Linked DNA regions of Alligator mississippiensis. The protein of the gene in region 1 purifies or fractionates together with the protein of each later gene. This does not show direct contact. Links are inferred from orthologs where the notes say so. Each region holds a gene or a part of one and is shown in the gene's direction. Other genes may lie near its edges. The genes, in order: NUP160, NUP43 and SEH1L.

Evidence for each region.
Region 2: the proteins of NUP160 (region 1) and NUP43 purify together in Homo sapiens (affinity purification with mass spectrometry; 5 studies listed by BioGRID and IntAct, counting the BioPlex papers as one, with this or other methods). This does not show direct contact. The link is inferred for Alligator mississippiensis from reciprocal best matches to the Homo sapiens genes NUP160 and NUP43.
Region 3: the proteins of NUP160 (region 1) and SEH1L fractionate together in Homo sapiens (co-fractionation; 3 studies listed by BioGRID and IntAct, with this or other methods). This does not show direct contact. The link is inferred for Alligator mississippiensis from reciprocal best matches to the Homo sapiens genes NUP160 and SEH1L.

The regions. Positions count from the first base shown.
Region 1 is NC_081825.1:171,293,318-171,303,672, reverse strand, and holds the start of NUP160 (nuclear pore complex protein Nup160), read left to right. Parts: upstream 1-6,478; 5' UTR 6,479-6,514; coding exon 6,515-6,608; intron 6,609-6,690; coding exon 6,691-6,799; intron 6,800-6,902; coding exon 6,903-7,113; intron 7,114-7,881; coding exon 7,882-8,104; intron 8,105-8,735; coding exon 8,736-8,814; intron 8,815-10,355. UniProt on the Homo sapiens protein: Functions as a component of the nuclear pore complex (NPC). Involved in poly(A)+ RNA transport.
Region 2 is NC_081824.1:129,003,499-129,013,390, reverse strand, and holds the start of NUP43 (nucleoporin Nup43), read left to right. Parts: upstream 1-5,454; 5' UTR 5,455-5,495; coding exon 5,496-5,615; intron 5,616-7,259; coding exon 7,260-7,382; intron 7,383-7,593; coding exon 7,594-7,671; intron 7,672-9,621; coding exon 9,622-9,802; intron 9,803-9,892. UniProt on the Homo sapiens protein: Component of the Nup107-160 subcomplex of the nuclear pore complex (NPC). The Nup107-160 subcomplex is required for the assembly of a functional NPC.
Region 3 is NC_081826.1:97,973,076-97,982,734, forward strand, and holds the start of SEH1L (nucleoporin SEH1), read left to right. Parts: upstream 1-5,033; 5' UTR 5,034-5,103; coding exon 5,104-5,214; intron 5,215-9,267; coding exon 9,268-9,318; intron 9,319-9,659. UniProt on the Homo sapiens protein: Component of the Nup107-160 subcomplex of the nuclear pore complex (NPC). The Nup107-160 subcomplex is required for the assembly of a functional NPC.

The DNA.
Region 1 (10,355 bases):
AGGTCTAATGATGTGACTCATGTCTACACATGAACTTTTAATGCGCATTAAAGCATCAAAAAAGGCATTTATAGACGTGCTTCGGGGGGGGGGAGTGCTTTAATTAGAGCAGCTCTGAGAGCCGCTTCAATTAAAGTGCCCAGTGTGTTGCATGTACCAGCGTAACCACACTGGAACAAGCTTTAGGTAAAGCTCTTCCGCTGCCATGTTTCAGTGCAGGGATGCTGATAAACGTGATGCTGGAGCCTGCTGGAACACGGTAATTCCCATGCTTCAGCAGATTTGATTAATTGAGCCTGCTCCAATGTGCTGTAATTACAGTGCATCAGAGCATCCTCCCTGCATGTTAATAGGCAGGGCTGTCCCTAGTGGGGGAGCAAATCGGGGCAACCACCCAGGGCCTCATGCTTTGGGGGGGCCCCGCAGACAGTGTTGTACAGGCCCCACTGTGGTGGCTGCAATGCACTAGCTCTGCCGTGGCTGCTGCACACTGCCGGCTCTGTGTTCCGGCTGCTTGCTACCCTCCCCACCTCTGTTTGCCACCCCTAGGCCTCGCACACCCCTAGAGACGGCTCTGTGTATAGCATCCAAAAAAAGTGTGCTTTTGCTAATTATTAAATTAAAATAAATTAAATGTAATTATTGCATTAAAATAGGCTAATACGCCTTCTTTTAGTACCTCACAATGGAGGTACTAAATGTGCATTACCAAAAGGGCATTAATGAAAATGGAGATGCACTCACTGTCACTTTATGCCAATCCCCTGCACCCAGCTGGGGTGGGGTGGGGTGGGGAGGCAGTCACAGCTCTGCACCAGTCCTGGGGTTCCTTTATGCTGGGTGCTGCACAGGCCCCTACCAAAATTAGGAAGTGCTGTGGGGTGTTGACTCTCCCTTGGTACGGACCTCACCGGCACAGAACACCCTTTGCAGGTGTGCTCAGCACAACAGCTGCAGGACTTATCTCAGGCTGCAGAAAATAGCCGGAGGGAGGGGGGGGGGCATAATGAGGATGTTATGGGGATAAGGGCTTCAAGGTAGATTCCCCAGTTTCGGAGTGAGGGAATATTTCATACCTATGGGAGTGTCCAGTTGGCCAGCACAGACTATGGTGTCCTTGAATCTGCTCTTTAGCTGTCCTGGCCTATTCCATAAAACACTGCTTCCATCTCCTGCTGTTTGGCCCAGAGCATAGGATGCTATGCTGCTCCCACGTAGTCCCCCCAGGGTGGCAATAGTAGCCCTGTGTGTCATGGGTTGGTGCAGTCACAGTCAGCTCTACCTCCACTCATCTTCTAGTACCACTCTTGTGGTACCCACTCTGTCCCACTGCTGCATCCCTGCCAAAACAGCTGTAGATGAAAAGCCTATAGCACCAGCTGGATGGGGCTGTCTGTCTCTTTTTAGTTCCTCTGGCACATTGTTAGGGGGATGTGAAATTGGACAGCCGGACTCCTGGATTTTTTTTCCTTACACTTGCTGGGTGAGGCCTGTGCTTCAGTTTTTTCCTCTATAAAGGTGTGTCTGGTTCTGTTGAGAAAGGGCACTGGAGATCCCAAGTAGCCAGCCTCTACCCAGGTATTAGCTGCCTCTGCATCTTGCACATGTTTCACCTCTCCCTTCCAGATTATATCCTCCCTTGACTTTCCTCCCTTGACTTCCATTACTGTTGCCTTGCAATGAAGGGTGGGACACCAGCATGCAGTGGAATCTGGTAAAGTGCTGGGGATTGGTTTAGCATGGGCCACTGAGTTGCCATGAAGCACATATTCCTCTGGGTTTATGGACTGCACCTAGTTGGGGAGGGTGAGGTCTAGATCCAGAATCATGACTCCTCAAAGGAGAGGTCAATATACAAGAGCATGGACATGCAGGCACTGGACCTACAGCAATTCCTCCAACTTCAGACAGTGCAAGGTATCCCAGTGAACTAGCTTGTCCCTTAGCTGGCTTACCTGACACCTCAGGTTTACAGACAACTCAAGCAATGTACAACATATCTCAGCCCTGACGTGTCCCCCTGACCCTGCACACCTCCAACCATAGTTCCCACATCCTGCCTCAATCTCCTTTGCTCCTGCCCTAGCCTAATTTCTGCTTCTGAACAGCTGATCCCAGTATCCTGGATTCCTTGACCACAGTTTCTGGATCTTGGTTCTTGCCTTGGCTTCCTTAGTTTCAGAGCCCTAGTTCAATTCCTGACATATTCTTTGGAACCTCCTGACTTGGATGCTGGTTCTGCCTGCTTTACCAGACCACCTGTCTTACAGTTGGGTGGCAGGGCACGTGTGGGGCCTGGGCAGAATGAAAGGGAACCAAAGGGGATGGGCAGCGGGGAACAGGACTTGTGAAGAGAGATCATGAAAGACAGCAAGATGGGGCATGGAAGAGATCGGGTACCCATGAACTCCAGTATGTTGGTCTGAGAAGCATCAGTGCCAATGGTGAGCCATGGTACTTAGTTTGTGTGGAGGCCCTGATGTGATGGGGCTGTGATCTAGCATTGCCAACTGGTCACAGGAAGTGGTTGACCATAAGGCAAGTAGCCTCAAAAGGTGTTGGCCTCAACTTTTTGATCCTTGACTCCCAGCCCTATCAGCTTGAGGGGACCTGAACTTGAGGACCCAATCCTTATTCTTCCCATGCCTTAGGGTTCCTCTCTCCTATGCATCATTTTCCTTCACCATACTATTGGCTCCTCTCTCTCTTTTCCCCTTCTGTTTAATTACATTCTGGCTTTCATAGATTTCATAGACATTAGGGCTGGAAGGGACCTCAGAAGATCGAGTCCAACCCCCTGCCCAAAGGGCAGGAAGTCAGCTGGAGTCATAGGATCCTAGCAAGATAAGCATCCAGTTTGCTCCTGAAGGTGTTCAATGTGGGCGCTTGAACCACCTCCGGTGGCAGGCTGTTCCAGACCTTGGGGGCTCAGACAGTAAAGAAATTCTTCCTTATGTCCAGCCTGAAACGGTCTTGTAGTAGTTTGTGACCATTCGACCTAGAGGACTGCAATTGGGGTAGGTGAGAGTGGAGGGTGGGTCCACAGACACGTTTATTGTAATGGAAATTGTGGGTTTCTTAATGCAGTTTTAAGATGTGTGATGGAAAGTTTATGATAGAGGTATATATATATATATATATATATAACTCTCTCTCTCCCTAGAAATATATTTAAAAAAATAAAGATCCTGGGGGCTCCATGGAGATGGGCTTGGGCCAGTGGGATGGGGCTGCAGGTGGTGGGGAGCAGCGTTGGGGAGTGGGACAGGCGGGGACAGGAGTGCAGGGTGGTGGCAGCGCAGGGCGGTGGCAGCGCAGGGCCAGGCCAAGGTGTCTCTGGCACCCCTGGCCTGTGTAACTCGCTGTTCACTTTACTGCGCAGGCAGAGCTGGGGGCTAAAGCCCGAGGCCTGCTCACTGAGGCGGGATCCACCCAGCTGCAGCTTCTCCCTGCCTGGCCCCAGCTGTGCACTGCCTGCTGTGGTACGGCAGGGGCAGGAGGAGCCAAGCCATCCCTGGGCAGCTGCAGACCTGCTGAAAAGCTGTGCACGCTGCCAGGGGCAGGAGCATGGAAAGGGCTGCCTTGGGCAGGAGCGGGGGCTCAGCCCCAGGCAAAGCACCACAGGGACAGCCACCAGCCAGATATGATCAATTGGCGGGTGCCAGCCTGTGGGCTGGATCCAATCGGTTGGCAGGCTGCAGGCAGTATTTTGCCTACCCCTGCACTAGCACCACATCAGAGCATTGGGAGAGCTCTGTGCTGGATTTGGGCTACCCAGGGGAATTAATATACTAGATCAGCAGTTCTGAACCTTTTTCAGTCAACGTACCCCTTGGTCTCAGAGTGAGACTTCACATACCCCCTTTCAATGGGAAATTAATTTTTATGTCAAACTATGTGTAATCGTGTATTATAAAAATGGCAAGATCCTCATACAACGACTTTTTCATTTTAAACAAACTTTATTCCATGCACAGAAAAAGTGGTGCAAACCCCCCCCCCCCACACACACTTAGCATCAAATGCCAAAACATACCAAAACTTATTAGTGCGAACCCTGCTGCTGCTGCTTACTATCAACCAACATTTTAATTCTAGGCGATGTTATCTCACATACCCCCGGTTCAGAACCGCTGTACTAGATTATAAGGAAAGCAGCTTCTACTCCGGGCTACAGTTAAATACATGCTTTATGCTTTCTTGAATCATGGCTTATGCCTCTGCTTTAAAATCATGCACTGGTAGGGTTTTTTCCGGACATTGTCATGTTGCTGGAGGAATTTACTTAGCAAACTACTACTGCAGCTTTCAGTCACTGCTCTGTGACTTTCCTAAGTTCAGTAACTCATTGGAAAATTCATGTCATGCTTGTCTGCTATAACCCCCAACTGCCCTGCCCTTAAATAGTAACAGGAACATTAAAAATCCTTCTGATGCAGCTAGAGTTGGAAGCACATTTTGTCCCTGCTTTATTTGTATTCTGGGCCTATGACATGCGATCTGTTGCAGTGGAAGCTGGGATTTAATTTTGATTGTCAGGTAGCAAGGAAAAAAAACCCCTCTTCCTTTCAGCATTTTCCATTATTTGCCACCACCAAGTAGTGAAGCACTTTCCATGATAAGTGCATGCTTCACGACCCCAGGCAAAGAAAGAAATGATGTACCCATTTAGCTACAGCATGGTGTCTGGACTGTAATCTTTCTCAAATGCTTCTGTGTTGAAAAATATAACTTGATGATTGACAGTGGCCCCATACTGCAGATTTGATCCAAGAAAAGTTACAATGTTTAGCTATCTGCAGCTACAAAGCCAAAGACCCTGTAGCCATGCTGGTTTATGCAGCCAAGAACCTGCCCAAGGGCTTTTATGAGGGTGAAGTTGGTACATTATTTCTAGTTTCCAGTTTGTCATTCCCCATTCCAATGTCAGAGTTTCTCTTCCCGTGATTATAAATTTGTTAGCAATAAAAAAATCATGGCAGAGCTCTGTATTTCATTAACTATGTATATTGGCTAAAGGACTGTAATATAATATCACATATCAAGAACATTGTGCTGAATAAGGGGCCAAGTTTGTTTGGCATTACAGGGTAAAATCCATCTTGGGTCACTCCAAAAAACACAACTCCACCATTAGGGTACTCTCCAGAAGAAGGCTGTGCAGGGCCCTACCTGACCCAAAGCTTGATTTCTAAGCGGCCTGGTGTTGACTGACAGCCCCCCGGGCCTGACTACCGCGAAAGGGGCCGCAAGCAGGCCCTCAAAGGCTGGAACTGTGCCAGCCTGCATGGGAAAAGCCATGGTCGCCCACAGGAAAATGGAGAATCCATTTTTAAAGTTTGCTCATGACTGTTTCATATATTCTTGTGACCCACTTCTGGGTCATGATGACACACCCACAGGTTGAGAAACGCTGATGTAGCCCAACCCCTTGCCTCAGGCAGGATCATTCCTATCTAAACCATCCTGTACAAATCCATAACGTAACCTCTTAGTAAAACCACTCGGTCAACAGTGACACAGAGCGGATTGAACACCCTAACCTGCACAGGTAATGCTGGGGGGAGGGGCGGGGGCACAGCAGTCAACATCCTGCTCTTGCAAAAGGTTGTTAATATTTGCTTAAGAGTTTCACAACAGAGGAAGCTTGCTCTGAGGGCTTTATGGCTGAGGGCGAGCAAAACTCAGGGGCATCCAAACCCCAAGCCTGCAAGTAGGATGCCCGCCAAAGGTTTTGGAAACATGTGAAGCCCAGGCAGATGGGGTGGAGGATGTTTGCCAGTAGATGTATTCACTGACTGCCTGTCTTGCACGAAGACCAGCCCAGCCTGGCTTCTTTACTGTTCATTCCAGGCAGGAAGAGCACATGCCCACTGCTGAAACTTCCTCAGCCTGACAAAGGGTTTTTAAACCCAAAAGCTTGCTAAAATAAAACTCCCAACTATTTAAGTTGGTCTAATAAAAGACAGATTCACCCCAAGAACCTTGTCTGCCCGCGTCCTTACACCAACATGGCTACAACCTACACCCCTGCCGGTAGCAGGGCCACTTAAGGTGCTGGACTCCTCGATTTGGAATTGGTTTGGGCTAATTTGGCCTCGGATGCAAATCTAATAAAAATAAATACATTAATAATAATTTAAAAACAACTAGAGGAAAGCAACCCCCGCCCAGGCCACACCAATCGGACCAGGAACAGACGAACAAGACCCCGTAGCAGGGCCCACCTCAGTCAACATGCCCCCGGGGCCTCTGAGAAGAGCGCAAACCCCCCCTTAAAACCTTCAGACAAGTCGGCGGGGGTGGAGCAGACACCCGTCCTGGCCCCGCGCCACAACCAGCGGAGACGGGAAACGAGGAACTCGCCTCGTCCTGCCCCTAGGACGCCATACTGCCCGGGCGCGGCGGGGCCTCCCGCTGATGACGCGGCAGCGGGATCCGCCCCCGTCCCGTGAGCCCCCGCGGCCGGGCCGGACCCGTGGTGCCGCGCGGCGGCGAAGCGCGCGAAGGGAAGATGGCGGCGCTGCCGGAGCGGAGCTTCATGGAGCTGAGCGCTGCCGCGCGGGGCCCGCAGCGCCGGGCGCGGGAGGTCGTGTTCAGCCCGCCAGGTACCGCCCGCGGGCCCCGCGCCCCCGCGCCCGGCCCCGCTCCGGCTCCCCGCTAATCCCGGCCCCCTCCGGCTCCCCACAGGTGCCAGCACCAGCCCGGGCGCGGCGCGGCTCGGGGACAGCGCCGGCGGCTTCTGCTACCGGGAGAGCGCGCAGCTGGTTTCGGCCACCAGGAACCGCTTCATCCACTGGTGAGGGCGGGGCGGGGCGGGGGTCCGCTGCCCTGGGCAGAGGCCGCGCGGGGGCTGGGGGGACCTGGTCGCCGGGTGTGAACAGGCTGCGCTGCCCCTGCAGGAGCACGGCTGGGGACACGGTGGAGCTGGTGGAGGAGTCCCTGGATGTGAACCTGCTGAACAATGCCGTGCGGCTCCGGATCCAGAACTGCCTCCTGCTGCCTGGAGGGGTCCACCTCTGCGAGGTGCAGAACCACCTCGTCCTCCTGATCGTCACCAACCAGACCGTGCACAGGCTGGTGTTGCCCCACCCTGCCCGCATGTACAGGAGTGTAAGTTGCCTCTCAGCTTTTTCCTTCACCAGCCCCGGTGATGAGAATTGGGCTGCCCAAGTTCAGCTGCCCAGAGTAGGGGCAAGGGACCTAGACAGGCATGACAGGAAACTGTCTCCTGTGGGGTGGTCACAGCTAGATGTATCGCTTGGCTTACAAAGTAGGAAGCGCTCTTGTTTGCATGGGCAGGAAGGTGTGGCTTGGTGCAAATTTCCTGTGGGAAAAGTCATTAGGTTAATGTTTTTTCTCAGTATCCTTCCTGAGGTGTTGCGATCTCCACTCCCTTTGGGTCACTTGTTCCGTCTCTACATTTGCAGGATCAGGCCAGCAGACCACCACCTTAGCTCCAGGCTGTTTCATAGAAATTTAACTCATGGCACTTGCTAAGAATGAGCTGTTTAGACTTGAAGCAGGTATTGAGCGAAACACTGGTGCAGGTGTGGACACTGCCACTGGGATGTTAGCAGGTACGGGAGGGAGGGAGGGAGAGAGAGAGTAGGATCTAAGTTCCTGTGTTTTGGCAGCTCTCAGTTCTACCTACCCTTTGAAACTCACCCTTAAATAGCCTAGCTTTGCTGGTTAAATAAGGTAGAGAGACACAGGTTTGAATTTAGCTGATTTTCATTGGAAAGAACTAATTTCACAAAGCAGGAGCTAGTAGTTTTTTAAAGGTATTTGTCATTCCACGGACAAATCCAGTTTTACATTTTTCTAACCGCTCTTTGTGCTTTTGCAGTCTGGAGTCTTTGTTTTTATTTTATTTAACAGGAGCTGATCACAGAGAGCCAGATGCAGTCTGTATTTACAGATATTGGGAAGGTTAACTTTAGAGACCTGTCAAGCTACCACATGATCCCCAACATCCCTGGACTGGCATCTAATTCCACAGCCTCAGCTGCTTGGCTTAGCAGTGATGGGGAGGCTCTCTTTGCTCTGCCCTCTGCTTCAGGAGGAATTTTTATCCTTAGATTGCCACCTCATGATGTGCATGGTAAGAACTTAGAGCAGAGCATGTCCTGTCCTGCCACTTTGTATTTGTGTAGAATGTGTCATGGAAGAAAAGTCTCTAATCCATGGAAAGCAGCCTGTAGCCAAATGTAAGGGCCATCGTCAGTTGCTCTTTATAACACAATGTAGCCAGCATATCCCAGTCATGACAGTGCCTGTCTATGATATAAGAAGCAAGGTGGCTAAGTTCTAGCCTGCAGTTCCAATGGGGGAGCACTTTGAGGGGGCTCAGTGTGGGCAGGCTTTAATGTAAATAATACTTGTAAATAGTTCCAAGTAGGACATTTGGATGCCCCTTCTCACCTTGGGAGCAGATAGCAGTCTAGGCCTGATAGCAGAGAGTCCTGAGGAAGATCTTTTCCCCTTTTTCTCTGAAAAGGGCCAGCCTGAGCTTTTCCCCTTCCCCTCTGAAAAGGGCCAGGCTGATCTCTTCATCTTCCATGACACTTCCTATTTTGGTTTTCGATTTCAGCTGCCATTGACTCTCTTTTTAGTAACTGTAACAAAAATGAATGCTAAATGAGGCAAGTTGCATCTTGTATTAGTGACAGTGAACTATTGCATCAACAGCACACATCCCCTATACGCAGAGCTTAACACTTCTGTTTTTCTAGGAATGGTTTCTGTTGTGGAGCTGAAGCAGAGCTCAGTGATGCAGCGTTTGCTGACAGGCTGGATGCCAACTGCTATCAGGTTAGTGTTGTCTGGTGCCAAATAAGTGGGGCTTCCACTTTTTGCAGGGAGTCTTAAGATGGCTTCAGAGATAGACAAGTGCAGGGAAGGTGATAATGCAATTATATAGTGCTTGTTTTTGGTTACACAGATCACAGTACATGACTGCACCTAGGAGTGAATATATATAGTTAATTTTACAGCACTACCTCTGGATCTATATGTTTGTGGTTTTGATTAATATGTAAGTGGTTTAGCTGCACTGCATCTGGGAGGTGACGGCAGGTGGGGAGAACTGGTGGCTGCTCCCCACCAGCTGGAAGCTGCACCTGTGCCACAACAGAGCAGCGGGAGACTGGGAGAAATGGCAGTGGCACAGGTTCAGCTACCTCTCCCCCGTGCAGGTTGTTCTGGCCTGTGCTGGGAGGAGGCTACGGGAGGGGCTACAGCAACACCCCCCTCCCCCCCCCCCCCCCCCCCAATTTTGTCATAGCCCTCCCTGTCAGTGCCGCTGCTGCCTACCTGTTGCAGCCCCAGCTCTTTCCAGCATGTGGGTGGAGGGGGTTGAGCCGGGGCTACACTGGGTGGGTGGTGGCAGCACTCGGAGGGGTGGTTGAGGGAGTTGTGGTGAAATTTGGGGTGGCTTCTGCCCCCCATAGGCCCCTCTCAGCACTGTGGCTGCCTGTCCTGAGCCCAGCCCCTGCTGAGAGGAGCCTGTCGCAGCCTTGGCTCCAGCTGGCAGCTGCAGCCTGCCCGCCCCACATGGATCCGGGGGGTATGCGCCCCCCAGATGAGCCGTGGTTCCCTTCCCTTCCCCCTCCCCTTCCACCACAACAGACTTACCAGCTGCACGCAGCTCTTCAAGCTGCTGGGCTGTGCTCCTTGCTGCCTGCGTGCTGTGCAGCACTCTGCAGGTAAGTCTGTGGAGGGGAAGGGGCATGGGGGTGCAGAATGAGGCACCCACAGTGAGGGAGGGAATGGGACTGGGGTTGCTGCCCAGCCAGGGTGGTGAATGGGACCCAGGGCAAAAATTATTGGCCAGATTATTGGCTGTGTTGGGCCAATTTCCGATGCAGCCAATTTTTCTTTATATTGGTGCTGATCTGATATTGAACTGATGTATCGCTGTACCTCTGGTACTTATAGGAATGTTTGACCTATCTGTCGGTGTGTAGTCAGCCAGGACTGTTAATGTTGGTTTGTTTGCTTGGAAATTGCACTGAGGCAGGGTTGACAATATATGGCTCTGAGGCTGGATCCAACCTGCTAAGTAATGCTATCCTGCCCATGAAGCTGAGTTGGTGACAGCATTTCTTTGGTGGGGGGCAGTGACGATGATTCCATGGCTGGGTCAAGAGTGTAGTGCTAAGTCAATAGAAGTGACTGAGTTGGAAGTGGCAGCCAAGTTGGAAGCATGGTGTTGGTAAGAGGAGTGGCAACCCACCTTCAGAGCAGTCTGTGCTCATTTGGCCAGTCAGTCTTAAAAGGTTATCAATCACTGCTCTAAAGCCTTGTCCATGCAGGGAAGTTTTTGTTGTGTAACCAAAGGGGTGAATTTAAAC
Region 2 (9,892 bases), on another chromosome or scaffold:
TCTTTGCACGGTGGAGTTTTCTGCTGCAGAAGAGAACCCCGGTGCAACGGAGAATTCCCGCCAACTTGTAGCTTTCTTTCCATGGTGCATTTCTTTTTGCATCTAAGAAATGCTCGGTGCAAAGAGTTCCCGCCATTTGTATTGAAATTCGAATAACCAATATTATTGGTTCACATTAAATTATGCATACGTGGCGGCTAGCGATTGGCTTGCTAGCCGTATAAAGAGCTTGGGTGGTTTCTGCTCAAGTCGGAGTTCGAGAGAGAGAGAGAGAGAGAGAGAGAGAGAGAGAGAGAGAGAGAGAGAGAGAGAGAGAGAGAGAGAGAGAGAGAGAGAGAGAAACAAACCTTCGCCTCGCGTGATGATCTCTAAGCGCTGCGGATCCTTACGGACCCAACGCTTTTCTTAAAAGGCAACAGGGGCCTGATCAGCCTCTGGCCTCTCCCCATCGCCGATAGATTCCTAGATGTATCCCTCCCTGCGCGCAAAAAGAGATGGACCCAAGGAGCTTCAACAACTCCGTGGGAGAGAGTGAACTTGTCGTAGTCCTCAAACGAGGATTTAAGCGGAGCTGAGCCTGGAAAACTGTCTAGCCTACACCACGACCATCTTTGGTGTAAGTAAACAATCTTGAATCAACTACTACGCGTCCGTGACACATTCTAGCTCGCCCCCGGTTTTCTCCGACCCCGCGTGCCCGGGCTGCTGGCCACAGCCCGCGTGCGCAAGACGGGCCGCGGATCGCTCCCGGCCCGCGTACGTTGTACTTTGCAGTGAAAATATGTGAAAACCTTGGTCTGAAAAATAAAGTTTGACAGATGCATAAACATATAAAATGACCCCACTGACTTGCTGCCACTTCTAAGTGGAGCATGCAACACTGTATAGTAATTTAGATCAGGAATTGAAAAAGTAATGTGTAATGCAAATTTGCTGGAGGACAAAAGCAAGCTGATTCAACACAAATGATAAATTATCCAGAACATAAGTATTAGTGCTTGTAAAGTCTACCTGGCAGTACTGCAGGTCCATGACGATTACAACTTTAATAGGTGTATCAAAAATAGTTTGAACAGAGTATTTTTTAGAAAGATGTTGTGCACAGCTCCTATGCCCCTCTCCTCTAGCACAGTGCATGGGGGCAGCAAAGGACCTCATCAGTCCCTAAAGGGAAAAGATCTAGAGATGTCTCTCTATTAAGTCACTCTACAGCAGATCTCAGAATGCATGCTTGTACAGCCATTTGGGCACCCAAGTGAGAGGGAGATGGGTGAAGTGGGGTAGATAATGCCTCTATAGCATGCAGGTTAAATATAATTGTTTTAATTTTCCCCAAACATCAATAATAAAATCTCAATTACTTGAATTAAATCTCTGTCCTCTGACAGTCAGATAACTCCTCTAAGGTTTGATTTGTACATGTGTTCCTAGATGTCAGTGTATAGGCTAACATCTGCTGCTGCTTCCTTTTAAGCTGGCCAGCCTTGGGGAAACTGGCTTATTTTCTGTAATCAAGGGAACTGGCCAGCTGGCTCTAAACTCTGCACTAGGATCACAGGAGACCTACTTCAAAGCCTATTGGTCCAGTCCACTGATTATGTGAAGACATCTCTTGTTTAATGAGACCTCTGAATAATGAAGCATGATTTTCCTTAATTTTAAAACTGCTCCTTTCTGCAAATTTTGTCAAAAGGAGAGTGAATTCGCTTGAGATGTGTGAGAGAGAGTTCCTCAAATCGTTACATCTCTCTTAGTCTCAATGGTTTTGTATAACCTGATTTGTGAGGGTATAATGCAGAATTTTTGTACTGTCCACGTTAGCCTTCTGTGTGATGGCTGAGGAAAGAGATAAGGAAGATTATTACAGGTAATAACTTCAGAACAAGAGTACAGAAGAGAAGCTTAGTTATTATAAAGGTCACTGGCTATAGTGCATTTAAAGAGGGATCTTGCGAAGGCTTACACATATGCTTAACTGTATTGCAGTCTGAGCACAATGATAAGTCTTTGCAAAATCAGGGTCTTGGAGAGATGGGGATAAAAATAGAGGTGAATTTGCAGAGTGTTATTTGTGCCATTTCAGGCATATTCTGCCAGCTTTCATGACTTCAGAGTTGTATTAAAAAAGGAAGTGTGAAGGGAAAAAAACAATAGAATTCTATTTTCCAAGCTGGGGATATCAGCACCAGAGTGGCAGGGGCACAACTAAATCCTCTGCAGTTATTTGAATGCCATAAACAAATAATACATTTAGTCAATAGATTTACTATTATTTTAATACATTTTGGAACTGAAAAGGAAGGAAAGCTAAGACTGTTTTATTGATGTACACTTCAGTGAAGCAAACAAAGTACAATATTTTTACTAGTTGTTTTAAACGTTCTACAGTCACAAATCACCTGTGTGCCAACAGAGTAACCATTCTTGTGCATGTTCCTGGGTAAAGCAAGTCAGCTGTTAATTCTGGATGGGTTTTATTTCCTGGTAATATTTGTTTAAAGGATAAGGAGAATATCAGTTTAGATCCATCATCATTTTTCCCTCAGACAGATCATTCCCAGCAATCTGAAGGGATGCTCTAATTAGTCATTTCAGACAGACAAAAAAGACCAAGAACTGTGGTCCACTGTGCATGTAATCTATTAATGAAAGGTGCAAAGAAGGCAGAGTTGCTCAGTGCTTTTCCTCAGTTTTCACAATAAAAACAAACTGTGACCAAACAGTTAACAAAATATAGACAAAGAAGGGGAAGGACTATAACCATAAGTTAAGAGCACATCTGAAATCTCTTGACAAACCTGAATTAAAGTCATCTGGACCTGACAGAATTTATCCCAGTTTGCTGAAGGAACAAGTTGCAAAAATCTAGTTCTGACAAAAAGATTTGCTAAATCATAACTGACAGGTGAAGTCCCAGAAGGCTAGATACAGGTCAACATACTCCCTCCCAGAAAAGTTGCCAAACTAAATTATAAAACAGTCTATTTTATAAGTACCTAAAGGAAGAAGGGGTGGTTATTAATAGCCAACATAGATTTGTTAAGAACAAATACAGCAAAATCAGTCTGATTTCCTTCTCAGCAGGGAAGGTAATTTGACAGATGGAGGGAATGTAATGGACATAATATATTTAGACTTTAGAAGGGCTTTTAGGTATGGTTGTATATGAAATTTTCATAAGTAGACCATCTAGCCCACATTTAGGTGGGTATAATTGGCTGAATGACTGCAACTTGAGAGTATAAATGGATTAATGTGAGAATGGCAGGAGGTTTCAAGTGGGGTTCCACAGGGATCTGCTGTAGTTTAATATTGTTATCAATTATTTGAAAGTAAGAAAAAGAGTTTCCTGATCAAGTTTGCAGATGACAGAAAACTGAGAAGAGATGCAAACACTTTGGAGGACAGGATTAGAATTAGATTTTGATTGCTTGGAGAACTGGGCAGTAGGCAACAGAATAAAATTCAACAAGGATGAACAAAGTGCTACACCTATGGAAGAAAAAAACAAATGCATAATGGGACATTGGCTGGGTAGTGCCATTGCCGAGACATATCTGGGGATTTTGGTGGATCAGAGACTTGCCATGACTTGGCAATGAGATGCAATCTTCAAAAAAGCATATGTAATTTTGTGCTGCATTACTAGGAATCTAGTACATGTATATATTATTACCAGGAGTATAAAAGACATGCAAAAGAGATCTTACCACTCTATGCAGTGCTGGTTAGGTCTCAACTACTGTATTGTATGCATGGCTCCACAGTTTTAAGGATGTGGAGAAACATGAGAGTATCCAGAAGCAAGTGACAAAGATGATAAAGCAGTTGGCATGCAAGCTGAAAAAAGGTTGAGAGAACTAGGTATGTTTAGTTTGGAAAGAAGAAGATCAAGAGGGGGAGCAGAGGGGAACCTGATAATAGTTTACAAATATTCTAAAAGGCTGCCATAAAAAAGAGGGAGCAACTGTTCTTCCATGCTGCAAAGTATAGGACACACAGCAGTGGACTTCAATTGCAGCAAAGGAGTTCTAAACTAAAACCAAGGAAAAAAACACTTTAAGTGTAAGAACAGTAGGCCGGTGGAAAAAGCTGCTCAGGGAAGCTATGGTATCTCATGCAGTGGAGGTTTTCAGGAGGCTGGATCAGTGGCATAACTAGGGTGGGGTAGGACAACAGCCCCACGTGCCAATGCAGGGTGCCAGGAGCATCACACAGCACTCTGCAGCTGCTGGGTGCTCGACATTGCCCCACGCTCTGGAGCCCAGCATCCTCCCCCGCCCCTCCCCGAGGTGCTGGGCACCATTTCTGCCTAAGATGCCAAAATTGCTGCATAAACCTCTAAGCTGGATGGTCTGGGAATAGCAAATCCTGCATAAGGACAAATGATTGGACTGGATATCTCTTGAGGTCTCTTCCAGTCCATGACTCTAGGAGAATTTTCCAAGTTGGCTTTTTTATTGTTTTTTACATCATAACCACCAATGAGCCCACACTGGAGTCTGTGGTCTCCATCTTAGATGAGGTCAGTCAGTTGCACTTAATCTAAAATAAGGAACTCATCAGGAAATTAGTGTGGACTTCAAATGCTTGTTCCAAGACAGAAATGAGTACCAGAGAAGGAGGGAAAAAGTGGGAAAGAAGCCTTTAAGTTGCTCTGTAAAATATAAAGGAATAAAGGAGTATATAACTATCCATCATCTCAGATTGGGCCCTGCCTGCTCTCCAAGGTATATATATATATGTGCTTTCAGAGGTGGATCCAGGGCTGGGGGGTGCCCTGGCACAATTCTGATTCCCACTCTACCCAGAGATTAAAACCAAGTGCACGGCAGTGGCAGCTGCATGTTTAGTCAGGCAGTGCTGGGGGGTCTGTTGACTTCATGGCTCATTGCAATGCACCTGACACCCTGTAAACCCTTCCCTCCCTCCAGGGTGTTAAGGCCCCTCTGCTCAGCAGCCCCCACGTTCAGCGACCCCGTGCTGGGCAAGGCGCTGTAAGGTAGCGGCTCCTGGGGACGAAGCTCCCATTTCACAGCCTTGCAGGCTGTTTGGAGCTCATACCAGTGAAGTGACATCTGCTTTGGCTTCAGTCTTCAACGGAGTAACAACTCCCGGCCCGCGACAGCTTCTCGTTTACGGGTAACGGGAGCAAAACACACACGGCGTCATCTGCACCCACTTTCCCCGAGCCTCGATCCGCCCACGTCCTCTTTCCGCCGCATTTCACTGTCACCTCTCCGCGCCTATCGCCAATGCTCCAGCTGCCGGCAGTGCGGACTAACCTCCGCACGCCTCCCCTCTCCCTCCTTGCCTTTCTCTGGGGCTACGCAACAGCCAAAGACCCCGCCCCCTCCCGCAGCCTCTCGCCTTTTCCAGAGGCAACATTTTGTCCCTACTCGCTTCCGGTCTGCCGAGACGGCTCCCGGCCAATGGGAGGGCGCGCTTAGCGGCGGAAGAGGCGGGGCGGTGTGGGGTGGCGGGCGCGTGCAGGCATGGAGGATTTGTGCGCCAAATTCGTGTCGCAGAAGCTGAGCAAGGTCCGATGGCGGCCCGTGCCTGCTACTGCGCTGCAGCCGCCAGAGCTCTTCGCCACCGGCTCCTGGGACAACGAGGTGTGGGGGCGGGGCGCGGGCCGCCGGTCCTGGGGTGGGGTCGGGCTGGCGCCTGGGAATGAGGGGACACGGCTGTGACCCTGGCCCTGCTCTGGGGGCAGCCCCGAGCTCCTGTCTTCCTCGGGACACTGCAGCTCCTCGCCTTGTTACAGCCGTGTGGGTGTGCCTGGTCGCCCCCGCGCTTCTCCCGGCTCGCTCCCGTGTGTTTGTGTGCCCTCCTGTTGGGGAGGGGGGTGTATGTGAACGAATCCTCCTATTGTGGGGAGGGTACGGCCCTGTAAGGTGTCCGTGCACCTTCATGGTTATGGCTTTTTCTTCTGGGTAGAAAAGGTTCAGCCTCTTAGTTAATTTACTAAGTAGGTTTGTTGTTAAGAAACATCCATGCACCTCTGCAGGCTGGGGGCTGGCTAGTTGGGCAGCATGTCTGCAGAAAAGGACCCAGGGGTTACAATAAGCTGGATATGAGCTAGCAGTGTGCCATTGTTGGGAAGAAGGCTAACAGCATACTGGGCTGCATTAGTAGGAGTGTTGTTAGCAGATGGAGGGAAATATTTCTTCCCCTGTATTCAGCACTGGTGAGGCCACATCTGGAGTATTCTGTTTAGTTTTGGGCGCCCTACTACAGAAATGGTGTGGACAAATTGGAGAGAGTTCAGACGAGGGCAACAAAAATGGTTATGGGGCTGGCGGACATGACTTCTGTGGAGAGGTTGAGGGAACTGAGTTTATTTAGTTTGAAAAAGAGAAGACTAAGAGGGGATTTGATAGCAGCCTTCAACTACCTGAAGGGTGGTTCCAAAGAGAGTGGAGTTGGACTATTCTCAGTGGTGGCAGATTAGAGCTATGATCAACAGTCTCAAGTTGCACCAAGGGAAATTGTGTTTAGATATTGGGAAGAATTTTCTCACTAGGAGGATAGTAAAGCACTGGAACAGGTTACCCACAGGTGGTGGACTCTTCATCATTAGAGGTTTTTAAGACATGGCTAGACAAAGCCTGGGCTGGGATGAATTTGTTGGGAGTGGTCCTGCTTTGAGCAGGGGGTTGCACTAGATGACCCCTGAGGTCCCTTCCCTCATTTTCTACAGCTCTGTGATTGGTTACTTAAAAAGCCCATTAGAGTGATCCCACAGTTGTTAGCTGCAGCCTCTGCCTCTATTAGCAATTTTCTAGTTTCAGCCTTTCATTCAGTTGGCGATCCCTTTATCATCCTTCTTGTCTCTATACCAGCTTTCCCTACAGAATGTGTTTCTGGCAGAGGAGATCTGGTTTACCCAACTGACTTTTTGTTTTGGTTTGTTTTTTTTTGCTGTCTTGCATGCATAGGAAGCAAAGTCCTACTGGTTCTGAACTGTCAGTCATTGTCAGCTGTTAAAAGCATTTGGATCACAGCAGGTCTTTTAGCCCTCTTTAGTCCCTTTGCTCCTGGTGTTCCTCAGCTTTGTCATTGACTATTAGAGCTCATCCTGGAGTGTTAGCTCGTGATGTCTGATGGTAGTTTTTCTTAATATTGGTCCTTTATTTTTCCTTTTCTTAAACTTGACTCTTGAAAGAGGTTGAAAGCTTTGATGTATTGACAAATTTGTCCAAACCTTTTTCCAATAAACTAGCATCACTAATCTAGTGATGCTTTTTCTCCTACAGGAAAACAAGATTTCCATTTGGTCTGTTGGAGATGCTGAAAGTGTGTGTCCCAATGGGGAATATCAAGGAGAACCACAGTTGTTATGTGATATCAGACACTATGGTGATGTTATGGATATGCAGGTAAAATATTCAGTGTTATTAAAATGATTATAAAAAGAACAAGTGGATGCCAAAATATTGAAAGTCAAATAATTTTTCTGAGGAAGGGGAGGAAATACATTTTTCAAACATTAATTTATGTGTATGCTCTGAAATCTAGACTACTGTAATGCCAAACCTATTTCTGTGTTGTTACATGTTCATAGTAGTAAGCTTAAGTATTTCTTCTTAGTTTTTGGATCAAGAGAGAATTGTAGCTGCTTCATCAACTGGAAGCGTAACTATATTCCGTCACCATCAAAATAACCAGGTAAATAACTTGTTCTGGCTATAAGTTAAACTTTGCTTTTTGCCATTTAAGCTTGTAATGCAAGTTGCTTTAGTGCTTGCGAGGAAAGATTCCTCAGGGGAAAAAAAATAAATCATGAAGTATCTGAAATTCTGAGTACTAAAATTGTGAAGAATTACAAACCACCATTTTTAAAATGAGGAGAATGGTACCATGTCTGTCTGGTTTTTTTTGTGCATATATGGAGCATTTCGTTAATTATCTGATAGACTATTCACCTGGGGGGAAGCATGTGCCACAGATTCTTTTTCTGTACTCATGTCACCAAATATGCTTACAGCTTCAGTGAATGGACTATAAATACATGACTTGATTCAGTTAATGGTGACTATTTCTGATTCTTTCTAATGATGCTTATTTTTTATGAAAGAATACCATCCTCCGTGTGTGTGTTGCCATTTTAATTTAGTTCTTGCTACTGCATAATAAAATGAACACAGAAAGGGTTGTTATTTTGGCAGTTGCTTTTCATTACTGATATTAAGTTAGTTTTTTAAATCAAAATCCAATTGCAGGTTAAATCCTGTGAAGAGACTGGATCCAGGTAAATGACCATCACGGGTCAAAGAAGATTCCCAGCTCATAAAAATAAATGGTGTACTTGGTTACCTGAGGAAGGGGAGGAAATACATTAGGCATTGAATACTACACCTCAGTCCACATTTTTTTTTTTTTCCCTGTTTATATGATAAAACATTGGCTATCTGAATATTGGTTAAAGTGCACAAATTCATAGGAACTCCCCAATGTACTTAGTAATGTAACTGCACTCATTTAACTATGTAATTGAGGACTCCTCTAATCAGTTCACCAATTTCATTTGGTTTCAAGACAGCTGTTGAAGACCTATGGTTAGGGGTCTACCTAAATTGCATTGGTATTTACTAATTTTCAGTGGTTGATCATGACAAAGTTCTAATTCTGTGGTCATTTTGTAGCAGCCCTGGCCCTCAGTGTTGATTGATTGGTAGAGTGTCCCCAGTGTGGGGAGGAGGGATGAGGGGGCAGCAGCTGTCTCTCCTGCTGCCCTTTGTGTTGCCCTGCCAGCTGGCACCTTCCCTTCCACGGCAGTGAGGACTGCTGGCTCCCACTGGGGAGCAAGCATTTAAATTATTTTTGTTGTTGTTGATTTTGGACAATCCCAGATCTTTGCGGTTTCCACACAACCTGCCAAACCGCAAATTAAGTAGATCCCTATCTACAGTATTTTGGAAAACTAGATAATGAGCCTTAATGAAGTGTAAAAAACTTAGTTCACATTTCTCATTAAGTTTGTATTGAATTTTGCTAAGTGCATAGTCCACTTTCAGTCTTGAGGCTTTGCACTTAAATGAAGTACAGTAAAATTTCTGCTACGCGGCATTTAACTAACTGGAAATTTCATTAACTGGAATTTCCAGTTGGCCAACCAGACACAGAGGCGGAGACAGGGGAAAGCTTGTACGCAGCAGTAACTGCTGCCACCCAGCACCTGTGCTGCTGTTATGCTTTCTTGCCCTGCTACTGGGGGTTTTCAAATAATCAGAATTTTTACATAACCAGCAATCCCCTTACCTTGGGGATGCTGGATAACAGAGATTTTACTGTACGTGAGAAATTGACTTTTCTTTGCCAGGGTTTCTTTTTACCTGCTAAGATCCTGAAGTAATTAAATTGAAATGGGAGTATTCAGGTTCATCAGTCACCATCCTTCTTGGGACATAGTGTGCAGTTATGCATTGAGGAGTAGAAAGAAATAAATTACCTCTCTCTTGCTACTTGAAAGATCCTCAGAATAGTATAGTTTGCTCTTGTTTTATCAGAACTAGTCTCTGATACGACTCCTAAATAGTTCAGAAAATTTAGTTTCTCATGCTGTGATAAGAGTGCTGAATAGAATACTTATAATTTATTTTCTATTTGCTATTTTAGACTTTATCAGTATCCCAAAAATGGGAGAGGGTTCATTGCCATGTAGATTCAGATACATCTACCTGTGGTGGTGCATCATGTACAGGGATCATTTGCAAGAACCCAGAAATTGTTACTGTTGGAGAAGATGGCAGAATAAATCTCTTTAGAGCTGAACACAAACAAGCTGTGAGAACTATAGGTATGTTAATAATAATGCTTACCCTTACATTTGTAATTTCAGAAAGGAATGCAGTACCTTTTATTTGGTTGCCACTTCCAACAGGGGCTA
Region 3 (9,659 bases), on another chromosome or scaffold:
TATGTACATGATTAAATGATAGCTGGGGAAAGGAGTGGGAAGGTGGCATTGGAAGCAAGATGATGCAAATGAAGGATTGGGGCTATGGAAGGGAGGTGGGGTTATGCAAAATGCAGGGAATGGAATGGAGGTGGGGTGGGGCTGGCTCGGCCCTCTCCCTCCCCCTCCCCCTTTCTCCCCTGCCACCCCCTCCATCTTCCCCCTCTCCCCGTGCTCCAAGACTGCATACCCCAAGGTATTTCCCCTGCTTCTGGTCTTTGCTGGTTGCCCACTTCCACCATCTGCTACATATGTCAGGGTGTTTTTAAGCCTTCCTCAGAGGTGTTAGATGATGGCCACAGCCAAGGCTGGGGACTTTAACTGGGGATCAGTAAGGAATTTTACCCCATGATCAGATTGGTACAGATGGTGAGGGTTTTTTGCCTTCCTCTTTAGCTGGGGGTGTGGCCATTTACCTGGGACCTTTTGAGCATATTTTGACAACATTTAATAGAAGCAGGACATTGGGTGCCATGGTTCTCTTGCTTTACCTGTGGCAGGTTAGGATGTTAGGTCTATGTTGTATCAGGGTTGATGGTAGTCTTATGTAGAGTTTAGGTTACGGATTTATATAGGATGGTTTGGATAGGGATGATCCTGCCTCAGGCAGAAGGTTGGATGAGATGACCTCTGGAGGTCCCTTCCAGCCCTACTTCTCTATAACTTTATGATTCCGTTTCATCATGAGCCTCAGGTTCCCAAAGCTAATCTGCCTACATAATGACCTGGTTTACTCTATCATATCTGAGTCTAATTGCTATATAACTCTGCTTGCATTTTTGTAATGCCTTCCATCTAAGAATGTCAAAGTTCTTTACAGACCCTAATTAACTTAGTTCCTCTGTGATAAGTAAGTATTATGATTTCGGTATTATAGATTGGGAAAAGTGGAGCACAGATAAAAAGTTACATGACTTTCATTAGGGCACATAGAACAACTCTATAAATGGGAGAGAACTATTGAACAGTTATCAGTAATGGGCCACTCTTGACCCAGTACAGTAGATAGTTAATTATTGTTGTAGCTGTGTATAAAATACCTTTTCAGCACCATTACATAAAGTATAATTAGCATTAGTTGTCATAAATATATCTTTCTTTTTTTTGGAGCTAGAACTGAAGCCTATGGAATAGGTAACTGCAGACCTTGGATATCTTCACTCTGAAGAATGTGCCTAAACAAGTGAACCAGTGATTCTCAACCAAGGTGCCATACAATCCTTTTAAGGTACCACAGAATATTAGTATGTTTGGTGTGCAAACACCTACATATGATTCATAAGAGACATCAAAAGAAACAATAAAAATGCCTTTAAGTACATTAGAAGCCAAAGATATGCCAGGGAGTCATTTGGGTCTTTGGATGATCAAAATGTAAAAGGGGTGCTAAAGGATGACAGAGCCATTGATGAGAAACTAAACACATTCTTTGCATCTGTCTTCACTGTGGAAGATGTTAGAGAGATTCCCTGACCAGATCCACTCCTCTCTAGGGACAAGTCAGTGGAGCTGACTTCAGCTCTCTTAGCTACTCCCAGGTGCAGTCTTGGGTCCCTGACCCTGTCTCCACCTCTCCCAGGAGCTGGGCCCCTAGCCCTGACTCTGTCCTTCTCTGGGCTAAAGGTCCCTGACTGTGTCAGTGGCCCCCTCAGCCTTTAACCCCTACCCCTGGGAGCTCCCTCAGGCAGTGAGGTCTACAGCTGCCCCTGTGGCACTCTGCATGGGGCTGAGCTCCACCTGCTCCTGCCCAGGGTGGCCTGCACCATGCTGCTGCCCAGGGTTTGATTTACACTCTGACTCTTGATGCGGTCTGCAGTGGTGGCAGCCGTAAGCTGGAAGGAGCAGCCGCCACCGCCTGAGCTGCTTAGAAAGGTGCAGGGCAGGCTGGGAACTGTCATCTCTTATGGGGGAGCTTATGGGAGCCTCTCATCTCTTATGAGGGGGCTCTCATCTCTTATAGGAACCTAGGAGGGAGGGTGGAACCTTTTTTGTTCAATCCAAAAGTAAATATTTTGAATTACTGTTTACTTTTGAATAATTGATTATTGGTAAATTTTAAAACAAGATGTCATTAAATAAATGTTGTTATTTGTCAGCCAAAACAATTTGACAAAACATACATTAATTTGAAAATCATTTTGATGGACCTAAACAATATATTAAAAAAATGATACTTTGACTGAAAAAAATTACTTATTCACTAGTTGTTCTTTTGCTTTAAGCTTTGACTACATTAGTAGATCATGCAAACTGCAGAATAATGGCTTTTTTGACAGATGAATCACTCAATGACTGGAAACAATTCTTCTGGAAAAAATGAGGCATTGTTCTGTATAAATATAATCAACCATGTACGGTAAGAGAGAGGCGTGCTTCACAAAAAACAGCAAACAAAAATACCCATTTAGGAACAGTACTGTGAATTTAAGAACTTAGAAAACATTAAAGCTGTTTTATATTACAGAAAATGTGTAACCAGCTAGCTCTTTTGAAGAAGCAGTTCCTTAGGCTACAAGAAGTCCTACTGCCTAAACGTCCCTAGACATTGCTTTTTTCTGGTTAGCAAGTATTGGATGGTCCCAGATGAGTGCACAAATGCACAGCTTTGTTATTCTACTTTATTTTACAGTAAAACCTCTTTGTATTTCAGAAATGTGTAATTTTATTATAATATTCAACAACATTTGATTTCGTTTTAAATTACAGGATTGCAAACACCAAGCATGACCAACTTTACTTGTTTTATCATTATTTACACTGTGCATTTTTTACAGCTTACTTACTATATAGCAAATTATGAAAAATTAACTTAATTTTTTTTTGCATAAGATTGAAAAATGTGAAGTATTTTCAAAGCTATGTGATTATAGCTCTGCAATCCAGGCTGGCATCTTTTTTGAAGGCTGATTCTTACAGTACAGCTTCAACATCAAAAGCATTAAAACATCACTCCTATCTACTCATTCATTCTAGGTTTCCATTCAAAATTATCCATCCTATTTTTCAAAACTCCCTACGAATTTGCTACAAGTGATTCTCCAGGCTTGACCAAATTCCCTTCTGGAATAAGAGGGCACGACTTAATTCCTCTAATTTCTAGAAGGACGATTTGCAAATCTTCCTCTGCTGGTTAGCGTCTTTCTCTCTATTCGAACTCATACATCAAAGTGCTTCTGAGGCATCGCTTCTTGAATATTTGGCTGTCAGTGTAATATACCAAAATCTGAACTACTCATCTCTGTTCCATAAGCCTTAGCCATCTTTCATTCTCCATAGCTAGCAACAGTTTTACCATTTTTCCTGCCTAATGAGCCTTCTTCAAGGTACAGGTGTTTTAAACTTTTATTATAACACTAGCTAATTGCCCGTCAAGAATGAGGGATTTTAGAGTGTTTACATGCCCCGCCTCCTCACCCTTCAGGGCCAGCCATGTAAAGACTCCTTCTGCTGTCACTGCCTCTTCCTCCAGCCTCTGCTGCAGGGGCTCCCTCCTTCTGCCCAGTTCCCTTCCCCTCCTTTCCTCCCCGCCACCTCTCCTTCCCTGCCCACCACCGTGACCCCCTGCTGCTTCCCTTCCTTCCTTCCTTTTCCTTCCTTCCCTGCTGCCTGGCCCTAACAACAGCCACCACCATGACCCCCCCTTCACCTCCCCCCCGCCTGTCCAGGCCCACACAACCTCCCTCCCTCCCCACCCTGCTGGCTGTTGTTGAGGCCCCCTTCCCGTTCCCATCCCTCCCTTCCTCCCTCTCTGCCACCTGGCCCCAGGAGCCACCACCGTAACCCCCATCTTCACCTCCCTCAGCTTCGCTCCCCTCCCTTCCTCCCTGCCGACTGTTCTGGGGGGTGTCAGGGATGGGTGATGGCGGGGGGGAGGGTGTGCTGCCACCATCTACCCCACTTTGCCCTCAGGCAGGGAGGCATGGGGAAGCTTTCCTGCTAGGGGGCATGTTTGCCACTACCACAAACTTTGCTGGCAGTAACTCAAACATGGGCCAGCGCAGCCAATCGCCGCCTCCCCTCTCAGTGGTGCATGCAGTGCATGCAGGAATGGGGCACAGGACTTCATAGCTGTTTCAGTGTTTGTAATTAAAGTAAAGCAAATTGCTTCAAGTCCTTTTCTCTTTTTCTGTTTCTAGTGAGGGATCACATTTTCTAGGACAGGTGCTGTGGGAGGTGGGATCCTCCCCATAAGGGAACGTGCAGGAGTCACACTAGCATGAAGTAAAAGAGGGGGACCACAGGGGAATTATAAAAGGACCTCTTGAATGCATGGGTGGATCTAGGATTTTGAAAAGGGGGGTGCAGGTGGAGGGTGCAGGATTTTGAAGCAGCAGGGTACAACATCCCGTATAACACAAACACATTGTTCCTTAAGTGAAAAGGCAGCTAGAAGATCTACTAATATGTCAGAGGCCCAGTGCTGTATAAGATCGAAGCAAAAATATAACTTTATTGGAACGTATACTCATTTACTAGGTTATAAACTTAAAAAAACACAACAAACTTGCTAAAAGAGCCCCAAGATATTGTTGTATTAGCCCTGCAGCCACTAGAGCTCAGCCTACATCTCTCCTACAACCAAGTCTGGCCTTCTGGAGTGTCCTGACAGCGCACCCAGCCCTTCACGGTCAGTCGTGGCTGCCCCTGGGTTCACGTCCACCTCGGCCAAAGTTTGCAGCTAGAGTTGGGAGCAGGATGCAGCGCGGGGCGACCCGAGAGGCTTGACCAGGAGCGGTTAGTGGGCACGACGGGGGGCGGGGCTAGCGTTCTGCGAAGGGCGGGTGCGGAGGGCGAGGTGCGTCGTCTCCTCTAATCCGACACATTTTTCTTCAGGGAAAAGGATCACGGCGCCCCCGGCTGTCATGCGACACGGAAGCAGACACAAGTTGTGCTGCCAGGAGCCCGCAGCCCGAGCGGCGCCGACCTCCCGCCGCTGGGGGCGCTGTGCGGGCGGGGGAGCGGCGGCTTGGCGGGCGCACAGCGCCCCTTAACGGCCGCGGGCGGGCAGGGTAGGGCAGGGCGAGCGGTGCCGAAGGTCGGCGAGCGGGGGACTAGGCGCCGAGGATGTTTGTGGCGCGGAGCATCGCGGCGGATCACCGCGACCTCATCCACGACGTCTCTTTCGACTTCCACGGGCGGCGCATGGCGACCTGCTCCAGCGACCAGAGCGTCAAGGTGCGCGGGGAAGGGGGCGAGTCCAACCGTAATGGCGGGGGTGAACCCACCCCTCGCGCCTGCTGTGGTCTCGCCCGGCCTTGTTGGCGGCCGTTGGGCGAGTCGAGTCGAGTCGTGCTGTGCTGTGGGGGGGGGGAACCCCCTGCCCGCTCCCCCCCCCCCCCCGGCGTCTGCTGTGGTCTCGCCCGGCCCGTTGGCGGCGCGGGCGCAGGCGGGCCCTGGCCCGGCCGGCCTGCGGCAGCCACGTGGTTCCGGCGGCGGCGGGCGGGCCTGGGGCTTCCAGCGCGGGGCCGAGCCGTAGCCCTTCCCTTGGGGTGCTGCAGGAGCCATTTACGTTAGGTCCTGCGCGTGTGCGGGGCTGCGGCCGCTGCTTAGGTCTTTGGGGTTGGAGTCTCCTCACTTGCAAGTGCCGGGCCCGGAGGGAGACTGTGGCTACGGGGACGCCCCGGGGCCTGGGGCAGTCTGCCAGCCCCTTCTCCCGGCGGGGCTTGGGGGGGTCAGTGGGTGCTGGCTCCGCTCCCTGCTCCCCCTTGGAGCCCTCATGGGTAACTTTTGACCCCCCCCCCGACCCCTTTCCCGCTTCATTATTGCCCCCAGGTTTTGTCTTCCGTTGCCTTCCCCATGAAGGGAGGCTCATAGGTGTCTTTGTGGGTGTAGGCCTGCTGCAACCCCATTGCACGACATGCCAACAGCTTGGTTTTCAAGTTTCCTTTCACTAAGTGGAGCCATATCTGCCTTTCATATGCTGGTTTTATTTATTTACTTATTTTAAAAAAAGACAGGCATTGTTAGCAGGGAAGTTCCCCTAGAAGGTTGGCCTGGGCCTCTCTTTTGTTAACAAGGTAATAAGGGAGAAATTAATATATTTTAAGCAGACTGCGAAATGTACTACCTCTTCCTTTATGAGCATCTGCAGTCACAGCTGCATCTGCATATCACTTGTAAAATGTAGGTGATGAGTAGAACTGTATCACTTCAAATTAAGCTGATATAATGTAAAAGATAACATACTTAAGGAAGGTGTGACTGTCTGTGAAGGTGAAGGAGTAAGGTTTAATAATATGTTCAGGGTTTGCTGTTCATGAATGGTATAATGCTGCTTTTTATCATAGAAACTTTATGTTCAGTAAGTCTCATGCAGTCTCGCATGTGTGGTGGTATTCCATTTTTGGTCTAGTTTACTCTACAGGGTATTGTAACCTGAGAGATTGCACTGTCAAGTAGCCAACATCATAGCTAATGCTGTATCAGAGTACCATGTGAATGTAGGCTTGCAGGCAAAATTATTTCCCTTAAGTTTGCCTAGTGAGCAAGAATAGATTGCATATGCCTAGTGCACTTACTCCTTTGCTGTGATTGGTGACTTCTTCAGCCACTTATGTGAAGGTGCCACAGAGCGCGTCTACATGAGATGCTGACTACGCAGTAGCCTAGTACTTCTGGGCAGTAGTGTCATGTGGCAAAAACTGTTACGTGATGCTACTGTGCAGTAGTATCACAAAAAAGGTACTGTATTTGCCAGTGCTGCTCTGCAGAAACTGAGGTTACTGTGCATTTATCTAGTACTTGTTAGTACATGCATTAAATAAACGAGCAGTAATAACTGCGCAGTAGCATCTTGTGTAGACTGTCACAAAGATCCAGCTAGATTGCCCCCATCTTTTTTGGTATGTGAGATTACTGAGGAAAAGAGAGTGGAAGTGATTTGATCAAGGTCCTATACCCAAATGAGAGACATTGGGCGTAGAAAAAAGACTCCTAAACTGTTGATCTTGTGTTCTGACTGCAGATGTCCACAAAGGAAGAGGTAGTAAATTTCACAGTCTGTTTAGAATATATTAAGTTTTCTCTTACTTACTAACTTACACATTTTTGGAAATGTTTGAAGCAAGTCTTTGGCAAGATTTGCATCTTTTGTAGTACTGATATAACACTGTTACTTGTCTAAATCTATCTCAACCATGCAGTAGGTCCAATAAAAGATATCACCCATAAAAACGCTTGCCTCACACATGTTCTGGACTGTCATTTATTTTTACAACATTTCATATACTGTATTTATTTGATTCTAAGAAAAGGTTTCTCCCCTCATTTAACATTGGGGAGAAAGCCCCTTCACTTAAAATCAATATGAAGGCAGTGGGATATGTAGTTGCAGCTGCTCTCTGCCCTCACTGCCAGCTCTGCACTGTGCCATCTCCCCCTGAAGTTCCTTCCTCCCATGTCCCTACCCCGTGCAACTCTGCTCCTCTACCTGCCCCTTTCTTCCCCTTTCCACCCCCTTACCTATGCTTCATGCCAACAGGTTTTAGCCATGCTGCAGTTTGGGGCACTGCTGCTATGGACCTGGGCTAGGTCCGAGTTTAGGGCCTCAGGCTGGAAAGGGTCTAGAGCCTTTCAACACAGAGTAAGGATAAGGGAACAGGGAAAGCGGGGAGCAGTCTGGGGAGGGGAGAGGGGAGCAGAAGATTGGGACAGGATGGGGGAAAGGCAGGGCTAGGGCTGGGGGTGGGGTGGGAGGCCTACAGGGGGTAGAAGTGGCAATGTGGCAGGCACATGCAGGTGGCAAGCTACTTAACCTCTCCATGCAACCTGCCTCATTGCCTGCCCCCCTGCAGCAGTGGAGGGCATGAATTAAAGGCAATCCTCCAATAATTAGTTTCTCTACATGGGAATTTATAACAAATTTATAGTTTTTCCATGTAGAGAATCTGACTGTTGGGGGGTCATCTTGAATACAAGTAAATACAATATTTTTAAATGTCAGTCACTTGAAAAATGTTTCCATGTAAGTGCTGAGTTGCATTTGTAGTCACCGCATTAGGAATATTGAAATTTTACTTGTTTAGACTTGTCACCTAAAGTCCCAATCCCCCCCACCATTGTCTTAAAGTTGTAACCTTTATCTGGTCATATACACATTTGGCCCTGGCAATTGTGCCATTAATGTAATGCCTAACAGGTTAATATGTGATGTGACATATGTTAAGCCAATTTATGGTGCCATCAAATGGTAAACCAGCCACAAAGATGTTCCACATTTGCTCCAGATCTTTGCTGATCTTTTTGTGGCTGGTTTGTTTGGTATTATAAACGGTGTGTGGCATGTCACAGACATGAGGCTGCCCCATCCAGATGCTGACAGTAATCTGATTGGGGCAGGCCTGGGTCTGGCACTGGGTGAGGAGCTCTGGGATTCCCTACAGTTTGCAGGTTTGCTGCCTTGCTCTATAGGTCCCTTGGAGATGGCAGTGGAAGGCAGCAAACCTGCTGGGTCTCAGGGAGCCCTTCCCTTAGATTGTGTAAAGGGCAGCCTGAGTGTCAGCTTGGGACTTAGGGTGGTTGCCCTAGTCCAGTATCAGAGATTGGCCACAGGGCAGCTGTGTCCTAACCAGGGATTGCTCCCTGCTAAATCCTGATGATCAGCTGATTGTTGGTATTGGCACAGGGCAGCCCTGACAGCTGGGAGTCTTGTGATTGTGGTCTGGGGCATTTTATGCCTGATCTCTAAAATTGCTCATGAACATGTAGCATGGCAAGTTGCATGATTTGGGGCATAAAAATCCTCATACCTCAGTTGTGACTTCTTTAATATCTCAGCAGCCACAGAGACAGTCATCATTCCACATCTTCATTATTATAAACTTCCGGCTTGAGTTTAAATAGGACATGAGATCCATAGGGGGGGTGGGGGGTGAAATTTACTAATTTTGGTGCAGTCATGCAGAACATGACCTTTTATAAATAAGTTCTTGCATTTTTTTTTTTATTTTATTTTTATTTTTTTTTTTAAGAAACACACTTCCTGCAACTGATTCTGCAGAATTGATCTCTGCAAGGAACTACTTTCAAAAGAGGGGTATAATAGCATACTGGGATAGGGCAGGGTTTTAAGGGGAAAATGGAACTGCATGGTATGGCTATTTTTTTTTTTTTTTTTTTTTAGTTATCTATGTTTTCCAGTACTACCGTGGCAGCTTTGTTCGCCTTCCATTTCTTGCAGGCTGAAAAAAGCTTTACAGCAAGGTTTATGATTGTATTTTGTTTTAATAGGTCTGGGACAAAAGTGAAAATGGGGATTGGCACTGTACTGCCAGCTGGAAGGTAAAGATTATTAGTACATTTAAATATCAGTAATTATGTCAGAAATTCCTTGCGTTTTGTCAGTAAATCCCTTCACATGTGCATTTCTTCATGAGCCAGGATGCTGCAATTTTTTTCTTTCTTTCTTTGTGTTTTTTTTGTAATTTCTCAGTTGGTCTAATAGAAGGTATCACTTTGGAACCAAGAGTTGTAGATTTTTGCATTTGTTTTTGTCTCAGACCAACACGGTTACCACATACATCTCCTGGCTCATGAAGCTTTTATATGGTAGCAAAAGGAGAATCAGCAAGTGTCTAAATTCAGTGCTTCTCATTTAAAAAGTAAGTAGACATCTGATGCTA